Lonchura striata: one gene and its partner. The main gene of each other region encodes a partner of the protein of the gene in region 2 in a complex. Links are inferred from orthologs where the notes say so. Each region holds a gene or a part of one and is shown on either strand. Other genes may lie near its edges.

Region 1 (8,528 bases), on a different chromosome or scaffold from region 2:
AGCATGGACAACAAATTAAAGGCCAGGAAAAAGACTACTCTTTTTGATTATGTACATCTAAGATGTATTTCTTATATGATTGGTGTTCACAGGCCCCAGCCAGCTTTCCTTAGAAGCAGGAAAATAAACATTTAGGTAAAGACTGTGATTTTGATTTTGATAGAGGTTGAGGAGATGGAAGATAATTTATTACAGAAGAATCTGCTTCTGACTGTGAAGACTCTGCAATTCCATACTTTTGGTCACCCAAAGCTCTTGGAATGAAGCCCTACAATGCTTCACAGGAGACTTTTTGGTGCTTGTTTAAGACCAGGCTTCCTGCAGGGTGCCTTTATATCCTCCTAAACCAGAGCTTTCAATAAGACCAGTATTGATCCAAACCTGCTCCTGGAACCACCTCCAGCCTGGAGAATCCTACCTGGGAAAGACCCAGACTGATTCCACATCATATCTGTGCTCTTTGGTTGGCTCTGAAAGGAGCAAATACTTAAAAACCATGAGCTGGAAGCTGCAGCTCAGAAATATCAGCAGAAGGCATCCAGAGCTTTAGCATCAAATATACTCTACTTATTTTGCAGAACAGAAAAGTAAACAGAAATAAATAAATCCAGCTGGTAGGAGAGCTCCCCACTTCCACCAAGGGATGAGGCCATGGTTATCACCAGTCTACATCACCTAACACTTCCCATTTTGGGTTCACTGTTCAGAACACAAGCACTGTGACTGGAAGCTCTCCAGACTGGCTTCCTGCTAGCTCACTTTTTTATTTTTCCTCTTATCAAACAGCTTTTGGGCTTCAAAAGCAACATTAAGGAAAAACACAAAGCTTTCAGTGGTGTTAGCTGCCATGTCTGCATGTGCCAACTGGACAAGACCAAATTGTCTCAGGCACTCCTTTACTTCACAGCTACAAACACACAAATTGCCCAGCTGGGTCCCTAAAACCATTACAATGTGTAAGGATACAACAGAGTCCAAGAGAAAATAAAAAGTTTCCTCACAATGTATCAGGAGAGAGTCCAGACAGGAACTTTGCTGTATCCAAAACTATTTTGGAATATTATTGTAAAAGGAGATTCAGGTTGCAGTAAGTGAATTACAAAAAAAATCTTAAAAATGTGAGAACAGAACAGGACCTGGCACCCAAACATGCCCCCCTGACCACTGGGTTTGGATCATCTCCCAGATTCCACCTCATTTCTCATCCAGCAAAACAGACTGTGCTTCAGAACCAAACCAGGGCAGGAAAAAGGGAAACTCTCTCTGTCAGACCCTGCCCTGCTGCAGGTAAGACACAAAACAGATATCTGAAGAGGCCCTCACAATTACAGGTGTTACAGTTCTCTCCTCCAGATGGGATTTCTTTAGGAATTCTTCTACAATAGCATGCAAGACACTGAGACTGAGTATTTTATAAGCTGTGTTCTCTCAGCTCCTCCATCTACAGCTTTCAAAAGTACAAATAATTCAAATTTACATGGAATATAATGTATATTGTGATCACTGTTGTATAAAAACACTAGGAGGAAAAAAAATGGATGATACTTCAAATTTCAAGTTGAATATCCAGAATAATCTTTGACTTTAACTGGTTTATTGTGTCATCATCTTATGGAACACCATCCTGTCTCATATAGATGATCATTATTGTGTATGTTCAGCACAAATAAGACCCTAAAATACATGAGGAATTCTCTTCCATGAGAAGTTTAATGGCTTTACCAGCTAAAGCAGGTATTTAAAAACCTGGTTTAAATGCCAACACACTCATGCACTGAGCACTGTCAGAAAGCACTGAGAGGTGCAACACAGCTGGGTGAGCAGGGCCAGCCTGGGCTCTGCAGGGCCAGGCAGGGCTGGAGCACACAACTCCAGCTCTCAGGTGGGGTGGGATGGGGTGTTTGTGTGATTTAAAATACCACAGCACCCATCCCAGTGCTGTGACACCCATCCCAGTGCCCTGGTACCCATCCCAGTGCTGTGGTACCCATCCCAGTGCTGTGGTACCCATCCCAGTGCTGTGACACCCATCCCAGTGCTGTGGTACCCATCCCAGTGCTGTGACACCCATCCCAGTGCTGTGGTACCCATCCCAGTGCTGTGACACCCATCCCAGTGCCCTGGTACCCATCCCAGTGCTGTGACACCCATCCCAGTGCTGTGACACCCATCCCAGTGCTGTGGTACCCATCCCAGTGCTGTGACACCCATCCCAGTGCCCTGGTACCCATCCCAGTGCCGTGGTACCCATCCCAGTGCTGTGACACCCATCCCAGTGCTGTGACACCCATCCCAGTGCTGTGACACCCATCCCAGTGCTGTGGTACCCATCCCAGTGCTGTGACACCCATCCCAGTGCTGTGACACCCATCCCAGTGCTGTGACACCATCCCAATGCCCCCGTACCCATCCCAAAGCTCCGTTCCCATCCCAATGCCCCCGTACCCATCCCAGTGCCTCCGTTCCCATCCCAGTGCTGCGGCACCCAAAGAAGGCAGGAGAGCCAAGATTTCTTCAGCAATGACCAAAACATAGAACAAACGAACAAGGGCACCCTGATGCCAAGCTCTGCTCTGGCAGGAGCGTGCGGCAGGACGTTTTCAGAGATCCCTTCCAGCGAGGGCTCTCCCACCCCTGACCCAGCCCAAGGCATGGGCGCGATGTCTCCAGCACTCCACTCAGCCCTGACTGCTGAACTCAAGCTAACAAAAACCCCAGCCTACTTCCAAGCTGACAGATGTACCGGACACATCTCCCGAACAGGATATCTAGTTCCTACCACAACACGGATTCTGCCTGAGCTCTGAGGAAAAAACTCGGCACCCCAGGGAGGGCCCGGACCCCCGCGGCGCTGTCGATGGCGGCACCGAGGGCCGCGCCCTGACCCCGCCGGCCCGGCCAGCACTCTGCGGCACCGGGAGCGCAGCCCCGCGCCCCTCCGCCCCTCGGCGCCGCCGCTCACCAGCTCGGGCACTCGAACAGGGACCCGCCGCCCGCCGGGGCCGCGCTCGCCGCCATCTTGGCTCTGCCCCATTCAGCCGGCGCGGGGCACCATGGGAGGCGCGATCGGCGCGCGGCGATCCCGGCGTGCCCCGCGCGGCGCTGGGCGGGGCCTGGCGGGGCCACGCCCCCGAGGGCTGGCCCCGCCCCCGCCCGGCCGGTACCGACCCGGGACAGGGAACAGAGCCGGTACCGACCCGGGACAGAGCCGGTACCGACCCGGGACCGGGGAACAGAGCCGGTACCGACCTGGGACAGAGCCGGTACCGACCCGGGACAGAGCCGGTACCGACCCGGGACAGGGAACAGAGCCGGTACCGACCCGGGACAGAGCCGGTACCGACCCGGGACAGGGAACAGAGCCGGTACCGACCCGGGACAGGGGAACAGAGCCGGTACCGACCCGGGACAGGGAACAGAGCCGGTACCGACCTGGGACAGAGCCGGTACCGACCCGGGACAGGGAACAGAGCCGGTACCGACCCGGGACAGAGCCGGTACCGACCCGGGACAGGGAACAGAGCCGGTACCGACCCGGGACAGAGCCGGTACCGACCCGGGACAGGGAACAGAGCCGGTACCGACCTGGGACAGAGCCGGTACCGACCCGGGACAGAGCCGGTACCGACCTGGGACAGAGCCGGTACCGACCCGGGACCGGGGGACAGAGCCGGTACCGACCCGGGACAGAGCCGGTACCGACCCGGGACCGGGGGACAGAGCCGGTACCGACCCGGGACAGAGCCGGTACCGACCCGGGACAGGGAACAGAGCCGGTACCGACCTGGGACAGGGGGACAGAGCCTGTGCCGACCTGGGACAGAGCCGGTACCGACCCGGGACAGAGCCTGTACCGACCCGGGACAGAGCCGGTACCGACCCGGGACAGGGGGACAGAGCCGGTACCGACCCGGGACAGGGGAACAGAGCCGGTACCGACCCGGGACAGAGCCGGTACCGACCCGGGACAGGGCCGGTACCGACCCGGGACAGAGCCGGTACCGACCCGGGACAGGGGGACAGAGCCGGTACCGACCCGGGACAAGGGAACAGAGCCGGTGCCGACCCGGGACAAGGGAACAGAGCCGGTACCGACCCGGGACAGGGGAACAGAGCCGGTACCGACCCGGGACAGAGCCGGTACCGACCCGGGACAGGGGAACAGAGCCGGTACCGACCCGGGACAGAGCCGGTACCGACCCGGGACAGGGGAACAGAGCCGGTACCGACCCCGGGACAGGGGAACAGAGCCGGTACCGACCCGGGACAGAGCCGGTACCGACCCGGGACAGGGAACAGAGCCGGTACCGACCCGGGACAGAGCCGGTACCGACCCGGGACAGGGAACAGAGCCGGTACCGACCCGGGACAGGGGGACAGAGCCGGTGCCGACCCGGGACAGAGCCGGTACCGACCCGGGACAGAGCCGGTACCGACCCGGGACAGGGGAACAGAGCCAGTACCGACCCGGGACAGGGGAACAGAGCCAGTACCGACCCCGGGACGGGGGGACAGCCCCGGTACCGACGCTGGAACGCGGGGACAGTGCCGGTACCGAGTACCGCGGGGACAGCGCCTCTGTCCGAGCAGAACCCGGGGCACGGCCCGTACGAGCACACCGGCCTTTCTGCCTCTGTCCCGGCCGGCCCCGGCCCGCAGCCGCCCCGGGCGGGCACAGCCGCGCTCGCTGCCCGGCTCTCACGGCCGGCCGGGATCCCCGAACGCCTCGAATGGGGTCGAACGCACATCTGAGAGCCAGACTCTGCAGTAACAAGCACGGGATGTTCCAGTTCTCCAGACGGATTTTCAGGCTCGGGAACGTGAGACGAGAGCGTTAAAATCACCGGTTCTAGCGCCGCGAACCGCTGAGAGGTGCGGCACAGCCGGCTCCCTCCTCTGTGTAGGGGAGAAAGGAGTCAAGCAGCTACAAAAACCCTGAGCTCAGCACCCTGCACCCTCAATTCCAATTTCCAGGGGACTAAAACAGGCTAGGAGAAGGATGGAGCACACAAATAATGCTCCTGTTTAGGTGTGGTGACCTAACAAACAAACTAAAGCTAAGTGCTTTTGTTCTTCTATGGCAGTGTGACACCCAAAGGACTCTGTCTGGCAGCAGGCATGCACAAATCAATAGGTTTCAAATCAATAGCTCCTACCATTTCCAAGGAAAACTTTAAAAAAGGAGCAGAACAACACAAAGGTCACATGCTTTCAAGTCAGATTTTATCATACAGGCTTGCAAATGGCTTCAAGTTCTAGCAAAAGGCAAATAGAGCTGACCCAATGCTGCTCTGAGGTATGAGATTCATTTTTCTGGGATCACCTATTGTACAGGACGCTGCACAGAAGTCTTGTGTATGTCCTTGGAAATTAATTTCATTATTTCAGGGAGTTTCATTCTGAAAAATCAGGGACCACAGAATTAAAGCTGCAGGAAACACTACTGTGCTGATGTAACGTCCTCTACTCTGCAAACACACCTGTGCCAATGTGTAAATTGCAAGAGAAATGAGCTCTGACAGAGGCTTTTAAAAGTGTTTATTGATAATTATTGGATGGAATGACGGCGCAATAGTGCAAACCACTGTGCAATTGGGAGAACACTCTTCCCAGCTTTCATGTTTACTTTATTATAGACGAGACATGGAATAAGGATTAAATACAAAATGGGTCAGTATACTGCATTTACCACCCCCACCGGGTTTTGGACAGATTACTGTTCCCAGTGCATGTCAGTTCAGAGCTACATTGAAGTGGGGAGTGGCTGCTGGTTCTGCCCAACCCTATGAGCTGGAACCAGCAACCCTTTTCATTTGCACACACCTCCCCAGTCTGGAAAACCTAGCACTTCACTCAGCCAGTTTCTGCACTTTCTATTTCATAAAGATTTGAAAATACCAAATGTTCACAAGCCACACATAACATTTACTAGGACACTACAAGTGAACTTCAAGAGCACTTCTTCAGAATCAAGATTTCTGCTAACACTCTTCACTAATGTTGCTAGCTTGTAAACTTAGGTGCCCACTTCCTCATTTTTAAGTGTTTTTTCCCCTGGAAGCTTCTAAAAACAGTTGGGAGTGAGCAGCTAAACTTTTTATATTTAGTGCTTGAGTCAGCATTGGAAGAGATTTATTTGTCCACTAGCAAGCAACCAGCTAGTTTGTCTAAGGAGATTGCACTGTTATTCTAAGTCAAAGAACATTCTGTCCTCAAGTGCATTTTGTGAAATAAAAAACAACCCCAACCACACCCAAAAAATTAAACACAGTTATGAGTCTCAAGGCTAAACTGACCAGCATGTTCAAATCATCATCCACACATACCCTCCTTGCCTCTCAAATCTGTGACAACATCCTTTTCTTCAAGAGAATCTAGAACCACAGCCACTTGGAGACAATAAAACCATGGGGCAGATACTGGAGACTTTAGAAACTGCTGGATTTACATAATGTGACTTGGTGGTGGGCTGTCTTTGAATGGCATTTGCATTCCAGTCCAACAAAGTTACCTACGTGTACAAAATGTTGAAGTTGTGCGACTTGTCAAAAACAAGACCTCTCCAATTATTGATCACATTTCAGCATACAGCTGGGACAGGGAAGAACACATTACAGAAAGCAAAACCACAAGATTTTAGTTACATAAAACAATATAATTTGTATATAAACTGATAAATACTGTCTCCATGGTTTACTAATTCCAAATACTAGTTACCTGCACGTTAGTTGCTAATATCTATTATTAGAAGTAGTTCCAACTTTTGCTCTCTCAGGGTGGTCAATTCAGCTCCAAGACCAGTCAGCCTGTTTGCTCTGACAGAAAAAATCTCAGCTGTGAGACTGGTTTCCATGGGAAGATTTCAGTTCAACTTCCAGATAAGGAGTCCTATGATTATACAGGCCACAGCAAGGCCAAGAATCAGGATACAGATCTTCTTACGGGATTTCTTCTAATAAGAGAAGAAAAAAGAAGCCACTGACACCAGGAACACTTGAGGAAAAAGCAAGGCTACCATTCATGTTACTAACTTGGGTGAACAAGAGCCCTTGGTACCCCCACAGTTAGAGAGAAGTAACCAGTGTAGTCTGAACATTTTTACATGTTCCTTAAACTCCATGATTCTACAGATGAATGTTTTTAATTTTAGGAGTGCAGTGGTCTAAGAGATGCAGTTAAGTCAAAATTTGACAGGTTTTGCTTCTCTTAATGAAAATACAAGCCTCAGAGAAGGCCAAACCTTTCTAGCTATTTACATTTTTTCCTAATCAAACTCCTAAGCAGTTCTCACATACAATCTCCCCTTGGCCACTTGGGCTTGGTGTTGCATTTCTACAATTTAAATTATTTCATGTACAGTTACTGAACTTGGATTTTACAGCTTTGCTCACTTTATTCATCACAGGAAACTACAGGCCTTCCATATACACCAAATATTTTTAACTTGGCATCTAAGGATTTGATATATAACCACTTCTTTCTCCATCCAGGAAAAAACCCCATGCAAAACATATCCAACAGCTCTGAAACTTAGATTTATAAATACCTCAGAACTTTGGCAAGGAAGCCATGGAGAGAGAGACTGCTACTACATGCTGCCAGATGGTAAAAGCAACATTCCCACCCTTGCACTCAACAGCACTGGAGTTTTATTGCCCTCCAGTACCTCCCACTTAACAGCTTGGAAGAGTCCAGTATTTTCTTGTGTAAGTCCCAGCAGTAATGGACTGACTAAAGCAGAACCCTTACCCCTTCACAGAAGCTGGAGCTAGAGGGACAAGGATGGTGACAGGAACCTACAGGAAACACTGGATCCCATACAGCAGTGAGAGCCACTGCAAGAGATTTGATGGAGCACAAACTATGGGATAGAAGCTCAGCAGCTGGATAGGAGTGCTGCAAATCCTGGTCACCAGAGTGACCAGACCTGAGTCTGGGCACAGATTTTTGCATGTCAGTGTCTTGGCTGATATCTTCAAAAGTTGCATATGATATCAGAATTTGTTCTTGTTTCTTCTGCTAACTCCTAACAACAACAAAGACAGGTAAACACTTAGGCTTGCAGAGTGTGAAGGGCCAGACCCTATTTCTACTCTTTTAGTCTAAAGTAGAAGGTGAATTTCAATACCATGTTTTTGACTCAAGTGCTTTATATACTCCTTGCAGGCAATTTTGAATGAATGCCAACTTGCATGAGCTGGTTTTAATAAGCAGTCTGGTGTGCTGCAGTCCTCAGTGTCTTGCTCTGCCTGTTTCATTAGTGCTCAACCATACACTGACAATCAAGCAAGCACACAAAATTTACCTGATAATAGGCAGCTCTCTGTAACTGCTCACTGGCTCTTTCCACATGGACTTCTGCACTTTCCACATTTGCCTCTATGCTATCTATGGAAAGAACAGGAGAACTCATTGCAAAATATTTCAGAGCTTCAGTGTTTAAAAATTATAACTAAAAATATAATACTTTTAATGCAAAGTACTGAAAATTTTAATCCATGACTTGCAAAACAAGTAACTCTACCAAG
Region 2 (8,279 bases):
AAACAGCCATGTTATTTATAAAGGTAAAACTGGCTGTGCAGTATTCCATTTTATGCAAATTACTTTCCGGGTAAAAGACAAGACACAACCTCAGGTGGGTCAAAACTGAGCATCCCCAAAGGCAGAAGATTGTACTACCTTAGAAGTAATTGGTGTGTAGCTGCTTAATACAACCAGTGTGTACAAAGGCTGAACTCCCTCCCATGCCGCATCTTCCTAAACCCCATTTTGACTTTCTGTTGTAAGGAGACATCACATTCTGTCACGAGTAAGGGAAGTCACCTTGAAAACAGAACAATACACTCCCCAAATAATAGATGCAATAAATGACCTTTTTCTGTTTCAGCTGGACTAGAAGATGGTTATGAAGCACTTTAGGGTCCTGGGGTCCTTCCATGTGATGTGATGCTGCTGCTCCTGGCAAAGGTGTCCCCTGCACACTCTTTCCTGATGGAATCTCAACTGATTTTTCAGGTTTACTTTCACCTGATGAGGAACAAACAAATTGCTCTTCATCACTGTCACTGCCAGAGGTGTCACCAGGAGGCTCTGGCAGCCCTGGCTCAAGTTGTGCCTTGGGCAGCTCTGCCTCTGCCCCTCCCATCAGGGCAGCACACTTGAATGCTGACTGTGCTCCTGCTGAGGAAGGGGCGTCTTCCTTAGACACTGGCATCATGTCATCATTCTTCTGCCCAGTGTAATCTTTCTTTCTTGTTTCTTTATCCCTACAACTTTTTAAGCTTTTTTCTCCAAGCTGCTCCTCTCCTGGAGGCTTGGTACTTGTACTTTGCTTTCCAAGACTTAGTGGGAAGAGTTTTGATCTTGCGCCTGGCTCCTTGTCCACACAATCAGAAAGCTTCTTGGATTCCCTGCCACTGCCACCATATTTCTCTTCCTCTGAAAGTGTATTTTCCCCATTCCCGGTCTCAAAAAGGCAAAGTTTAGATTCAGACACTGTAGTCCCCTGAAGTTCTAGATCACTTCTACTTCCTGTGGATGACTGCCTTTTATTTTTCAGCTCTTCTAGAGATACTGTCTCTGTGAAGGAATCAGAGATTAAATTTTTTTCTTTACATGATACCAGCACACTCTCATTCTCTGCTTTAGCTCCTTTTGCTTTACTTTCCTCTCCATTTACTTGCTTCATTTGTTTCCAGGATGATGGTGCACGATTCTTGTCTAGCACTTTGAATGGGTTTCTCTGTCTTGTGGGGTTGAAGAAAGGTGCTGTTCTGGGCTGGGATTCCAAGGGTTTTGAGACTTTGGTAGCTTTTGGATCCTACAATATGTACATGTCAGTAAATGGCTAGTGTACAAATTATTAAAGCATGTTAATAACACACACAACCTGATCACATCAAGCAAGACTTCATCCTCTACCAAGATCATCTTTCCTATTTTTTTAACAGAACCAGGATAACATTTCATAAGAAATCCAAAACAAAATGGCTGGTTTTCTACTTTCTTTGCCATTCCCACTGTTTTTTGGGATCAAGTCCTGTAGCACAATCTCTAGAAAAGAGGACAGCCAGGAATCAAATCCAAGCTTCTAAGACTGAAGAATAGTGAGTACTTCACACAACTTAGAGACATCTCACCTAGAGGACAGCAGGCCTGACACACTTTTCAAGGTGGAAAACATAAAATCTCCCACTAAGTAGTCTCAGAGGTGATTATGGTATATGGAATGAAAAGTCACACCAGAATAAGGCAATACTATAATACAAACACTCTTACCTGCCATGGGACGCTCCCACACCATTTCTTCCTATTCAACTTACTCTTGAGGCACCGATAAAACAACCTACCAAGGATTAAAACAAGATTTCAATCCCAAGAGCCAGTAAAAAAGCTCTAAGCATTATTTTAAAAGTACTTTGCACCAGAGACCATCACAGCCAAATTCTACTAATCTGCACTTAACATTCAGACCTTTGCATAAAAAAAGGCCATGAACACTGGCAACAGTGCTTTTTACAGGAGTAGTGTTCTCTGAATAAAGATTCCTAGGGTTTGGGTTTTTTTTTTTTTTAATTTTAGCAATAGAAGAGTAACTGCTCAGGCAAAAATACTGTCTATGTTTAGAGCCTTAGATTTCAAGGTGCAAGGAAACAGCTCTTCTTTTACTTACACTGCACAGGCCACCTCATCTTTATAGCAACTTAGGGACAGAAATACTTTGGATGTGATTTCTTTTTTAAACTAACAGCCAACCTGGACTGCTGCAAATACTTTATCAGAACTAATATTGTGGAATCTGACGCTAAGTTTGGATGAATCCAACCACAGAGCCATGTTCAATTCTGTTAAAAACAAACATTATCTGATGACCCAGGTTTATACTATTAGACATAACTGCTAACAAAAGTGGCAAACATTTGGAAACAGGGTAAGTGCAGGCCTGAAGGCTCAATGACTCTTCAGTTTTAGAAGGAAACCAAGTTCTCTCTGGTTCTCTGGCACCATTAGTTTCAATATGTGCAATAAACCCTGTTTTCACTTTGAATGACTTGTAGTTCGACTCTCTCACTCCTTCATAAACTATAAAGACAGCTAAGATGCTCCTGATCCTAAGAAAAACAATCTTTATTTTTAAGAGGCAACAGCCTGCAAAGTAAGCCTTCAAAGACGCCATAAAAATGAGATACTCTAAATAAGAGCCCTCCTTTTCCCACAAAACACAGGTACAGCTTAGGTGGACGTTAAATCCTCACTACAGAAAAACTACTTAAATCACAGGATTCAAGTTTTTCTGACATAAACTTGTAAAAACTATATGATCATTAGTCAGAATCGGTTTGAGAAGATTATTTTAAGCACTGAACATAGGCTTTACCCGTTTGAAGGCAGACATACGCTTTTTAAAAACTTTGAGGAACTTACTGGTATTCATCTCTGTCCGGCTGCTGAACCAGGACTTGTAGCTCCACCACGCACCCCTCATGGATCAAGCAGTGAGAAGCAGGAACCCTGAAAGGAGGAAAGGAGAAGCGGAAGAATACAGACAAGACGAACTGCCCAGGGGACTGCCATCGCAACGCAATCACTTGCGACAAAACAAAGGCTACATAAGAAAACAAGTTTGCGACTGCTGACACAACAGTGAACTTCCCTCAGGACAGCCAAGTGTGCCCCTGTCCCATCGGCCCCCTCCTGCCGCCCCTGCCCTGCACCTACGGCGCTGGGAGGACGAAGCCGCAGGCAGCGGGGCCCTGCGTCCCGCACACGTATAAGCTCTTCCCTTTGTTGGGCCCATCGCGGACGACCGTTTTCAGGAAGCAGAGGGACCCTGAGGAGCGGAGAAGAGCGGAACGGGTCAGGCCGAGCCCCCCAGCACACCACCCCGCACGGGAGCCCGACCGCCCCTCACCGTGCTCGGAGCACAGCACTGCCTCCATGGCCGGGCAGTGCGACCGCACCCGCCCTTTGAACCGGCCAATCCTGCCGGGCCGACGCTACCACCAATCAGCGCGGGGCAGGGGCGGGGCAGCCAATCGCCGCAGCGCTGCGCTCCCCTCGCGCATAGCCCTCGCGCGCCCGGGGGCGGGAACGGGCGGGAGGGGAGATGCGAAGGGGGCGTGGCCTCAGGCCCGCCGCGGTGGCATACTCGGAGCGGAGGGAGCCGTATTCCACCCGGGATACTCCCTGTCCTGGAAACGGCTCCAACTGCCGCGCCGGACAGGCTCATCCTGCCAGCTGGACATACGTTTAAAAGTAAAATACTTCAAGATGAATGTAAGTTGAAATAATGGTACAAACACCACAGACCATCACGAACTGGAAGCAAGTTGGATTTTTTCTTCTGAATTTAAGACGGGAAATAGTTTTACAAAACGTGTGCACTTCTCAATTACTGCTTTTGTTAATGACAACACAAGTGAGAGAACGGCTCTGGTAATAACAATTATGGAAGGGTTATAACGTGTGTACAAAAATAAGAACAACATTTACACTAAATAACAGATTAGTGACATTAACACTGGCAGCCGAATTCAGCTATGGTGTAAACTTGCAACCCCCTTGATCTGCCTGAAGGCTGCATTTGTCTCAGTACCTGTGTGAAAAACGTGCTTTTTTCACGATACTGTGGATTTTGTGCTTCCACGCGTGCCTTGGAATTTCTCCTAAACACAGTGTTTTGGGCCAGCACCTACTCCACAATGCATTCAAACTCGTGTGTGCCTTTCTGATATTCAACCACGGCTCTGCTCAACTTGTTTCAAGCAGGAGTACGGAATAAAAGGGAGCACACAAAATACTTCCAGGCAAGTGTACAGCTTAAGGAGTGTTGAGTACCCGCGACTGTGATTGTAATGTTAACGACAGCAATAATGACCTCGATGCAGGGCGTTTCCGGCAAATCCTGGGATTTTTGTTTTTTTTCCTAATGAGTGCCCACAGGTGCAGTGTCTCTAACACATTAGAAGTAAAAAATGCAGGAGTTAGAACTTCCCTATTATTAATTGATTTATTCCTGCATTATGCTAAGAGCCACCTTTCTGGAGTTTAAGTGTTCTTGCTCTAACAGCCTGTTCTTAAATCAGCAAACCATGTACTGAATTTTAAGCATGCTGTTATATTTTGCACGGGAACACTATGGGATTCAGGCTAGTTCAGAAAGTCAAGTTGCTTTGTCCAGAGATGGACATAAGCTTGTGCTGAAATGCATCTCTGAGTCAGGAACAAAGACAAATAGGATGTCTAAATACAGTACTGGACCGAGGCTCTGCCTCACAACACTTTGCTTCTGTGCTTCTGAATAAGTTGCACAAAGACAAAATTCAATGAGTGCACACCCTGGTTTTTTGCCCAGATGGAAATATCCTGCTCCTGGTTTCCAAACAATCTGCATCAAAACCTCATACAAAGCACTTCTGGGGAAAGGTAGAGGCACAGACGAGCAGACATAGAGTAAACAAATGCAAACCCTTGGTCCTTAACTCCATTTGCTACTGACACCCACCCCCAAGGAATGATCCTGCTCACTTATGTCTCCTCTTTGAAATACATGGTAAGGCAGGGCTTTAGCGCCCCAAAATAAGGAAGGGGGTAGCCCACAAAGGCAGAGAAAGGTTCCTCAAGCTGGATATTCTTGAATGATCCACCTCATCCCTCTTTTCCTTACAAAACTTGCCAGCTTTGGAGTTTGTTTCACTGCCAGCATCTTGGCTGTGCTGAGTTCCCCTTCTTTGGCAAGCAGGGCTGATCAATCAACCCTCTCACAAAGGCCTAACAAGGTAATGTCTGTAGAGTGCTTAAGAACATGCAAAGTGCAATATAAGTGCCAAATGTTCTTATTTTTGAGATTAATGAATTAATACTCCAAGAAATAGAAGCACTGAGGTAACTACAGCTTAAATACTACATTCCCTCATGATTAAAAAAAAAAACAGAACAACAGCTCTCTTCTCTCTAGAAGATGAATCCTGAATATGAAATGATAATATCTTGTTTATATTCTGTCAACTTTAGCACAGCCACAGACTGCCCTTTAAGTAACAGCAAAACATGAGCTGAAATTCTCAGGGAAACTAAGAATTCTGCACTAATGATTTCCTCAAATCCCATCTCTGTGCTGTTCCCAGCACATGTTTACTCCCATTTATCACATCCAGAAGAGCTGATATCCCATGCCACTGAAGCAAAGCACAGTCCAATGTCAGATCTGGCATTCTGTTGGCTGAACAGACAGAAATATCTCCAAGTAAAGGTTAAGTAGGACCATAATCTGCATGAGCTCTCTGAAAAGTTCAAGTTTTGTCCTTAGTGAAGTCCACGTTGCTCAGCTGGGAGTAAGGCTTTATTTCTTATCCAATCCAGAGCTATCAGAGCACTCCAGCTGTCAAGTATCAACTTATTATCCTGGTGGTCAGAAGAGGATGGATGTAACAATGCACATACCTTTTCTGTTTTGTTTCCTGTATCAGCTTTGGCCAATGGGCCCAAGATTCAACTGACTAATGATGTGGTCAATGAAACCAAGCCCTGCATTCCTAAGCACTTTGTGATAATGATGTGGCAGAAGAGTCAGTAGCACCTGTTGCTGTTCGCACCCCAACTAGTAAACAAACACTGCTGTAAAATGCTAATGCAAGTACCAGAACCCAGCTGTTTCCAGGTATTGAAAAAACACTGGAAACATCCCGACAACGTGTCCTGGTTCTGGTGAAACACTACTAGCTGCAGTAGACCCTTCTTAGTGGTTTCATTCTGTTTTCCTACTCCAGTGCTCATATCAAATGTTCCCTTCATCGATGCTCTGCAGCTTCAGTCTTTGGCTGGCATGGGGCCTGACACCACGCCGGGTGTTCCCACTGCTTCCTGCCAGAGTCCACGAGGGGAACAGAGCTCCTGGTAAAGCATCTTCCCCAAACAGGCTGAGTTTCACATCAGCTTCTATAGCTTGGGCCAGACTGGCTGCATAACTGTCCAGAGATTTATGGACTTCAGCTTTTACATGAAGAACAGAATTCTTTGCAGCCTCTGGAAAAAAAAAAAAAAAAAAGGTAACAGTTGGTAAGCAGGGCTGTGCAAATGCTTGAAAACTAATATAGATCCTGCTGGAAAGGCATGATCATGCCCTCTGCAAAGTAACTACACATTTACCAACAATACTCAGGCTCCCTATATCATTCTATGAACACAAAGTTTCAGAGTGACCTGGGATAATGTGTCAGTGCACCTATTTTCGTAGTATCTGTACACCTCTCTACCCACCAACATGTTGAGCAATACAAGAGTTCATCCTAAATGTAACTCTTCAGTAAGGCTGCTGAAATAATCTAAAGCCTCAGGGATGCTGAAAAGCCTGAGATTCATCAGGGAGAATTGCAAAACCTGTGGGGACTTGTGCACTGAGACTTCCCTCTTTCACTCTCACAAGAAATTATATGTCTGCTCCTACATAATCACTCAGAAAGATAGTGGGAAATGTATGCTAATGTGTTTCCACAAGGAAATATTCATCTCATGGTGGGAAAAGGACAAAAGAGAATTCTGCCAAGATGTTTAAAAATTCCATAGAAACAGTTTTCTCATTATATCAGGTTTTATTATTACTTGCTTCTTAAAGGCATTCTGCTCATTTTCATCCTGTCCACAATCATGTATTGTTTAGACAATTCAGTTGTTATTATCAAGTCTTCTATTGAAATTATTGTAACTATCAGCATAAATTAATGTTCTGACATTTTACAGATGATCATAGCAATGTTCTGCTATCCCAGAATCAACAAGCAAGTTGCATGTGATTAATCTGTTTTCACCCATACCTGCTGAGGAACACAAAGTAAAGAAAAGTAGAATTTAAGTTAAAAAGTAAATGAAACAGGATAAAATTATATTCAAGATTATTGAAGTATGTAAATGGAAGAATTTCAAGTCTGTAAGTGACAAACTTGAGAAGAGACAGCAAATGAGAAACACAGGGATGTTTCTCATTTGAATACAACCAAAATATGAGGGCAGGATAATATATTCTCCAAGAAACACAAAACAGACAAAACTTGTTACAGCCACCAAGATGAGTGAAATTGCAGACAGGATACTGCTTTGCAATTTTATATATATGCAGGGAATGCCAGCTTCTAGCTCTTGTCCTTGCCTGATGCTACTTGAGATCTGGAAGAAAGGCCTGATTTTGCTTTCTGTTGTACCTGCATGAATGATCGGGTCTGTCAAGGCACACAGTGGTCAGATACTTTTCAAGACAATTCTCAAGGTCCTGGGAGGCTTCCTGAGCACTCAATATAGTTGACTCTGAGCATTTTCATACTTACCCCTATACTCACCTTTAATTTGTTCCACTTCATCTTCAAATGTCACTGAACTCCTCCTTCGAGGGGGACAGATGCAGTGTGGGGCATGAGGGCCATCTGAGCTATAGTCTTCAAGAAGCATTGTATCTGTTCCTGAAAAGAGCAAGAACCCTCAAGTTAAACAGTAACACTGAGATACGATATGGTGGCAAAACATTTTCAGCCCATTTTCAGCAATTCCTTCAAAAGATGTCTAAACCCAGATTTTTTGAGTAAATTTCAGCTCAAATTAAACACCGCACAGGAAAAGAATGAGGTCAGTTTTCATTGAAAGGATTGGGAAATCTCCTTAGAGACTGGGCATAGCAGGCCCCAGGATCATGTATTACATGCAGCAAGCAACACGTAAGACGGATTAAGGTTTCCTTCTGCTCTGTAGTAACTCACAGTAAAAGCATCCAAAATGAAAGAGTATTTCACAGTGGACAACTGTGTATCCATTCCCAGGCTACAGATTGTGCT

The links.
Region 1: TTF2 (region 2) and PPP1R8 share a complex: the UniProt entries of both Homo sapiens proteins name them as parts of the spliceosome. The link is inferred for Lonchura striata from reciprocal best matches to the Homo sapiens genes TTF2 and PPP1R8.

Annotation. Positions count from the first base shown.
Region 1 is NC_134628.1:5,420,518-5,429,045, forward strand, and holds the start of PPP1R8 (nuclear inhibitor of protein phosphatase 1), read right to left. Parts: upstream 3,082-8,528; 5' UTR 3,019-3,081; coding exon 2,963-3,018; intron 1-2,962. Other genes in the region: STX12 (syntaxin-12), read right to left, coding at 6,863-6,952, 8,306-8,388. UniProt on the Homo sapiens protein: Inhibitor subunit of the major nuclear protein phosphatase-1 (PP-1). It has RNA-binding activity but does not cleave RNA and may target PP-1 to RNA-associated substrates. May also be involved in pre-mRNA splicing.
Region 2 is NC_134604.1:23,224,143-23,232,421, forward strand, and holds the start of TTF2 (transcription termination factor 2), read right to left. Parts: upstream 3,436-8,279; 5' UTR 3,399-3,435; coding exon 3,178-3,398; intron 2,971-3,177; coding exon 2,884-2,970; intron 1,805-2,883; coding exon 1,738-1,804; intron 1,280-1,737; coding exon 332-1,279; intron 1-331. Other genes in the region: GPR161 (G-protein coupled receptor 161), read right to left, coding at 6,236-6,483, 7,791-7,910. UniProt on the Homo sapiens protein: DsDNA-dependent ATPase which acts as a transcription termination factor by coupling ATP hydrolysis with removal of RNA polymerase II from the DNA template. May contribute to mitotic transcription repression. May also be involved in pre-mRNA splicing.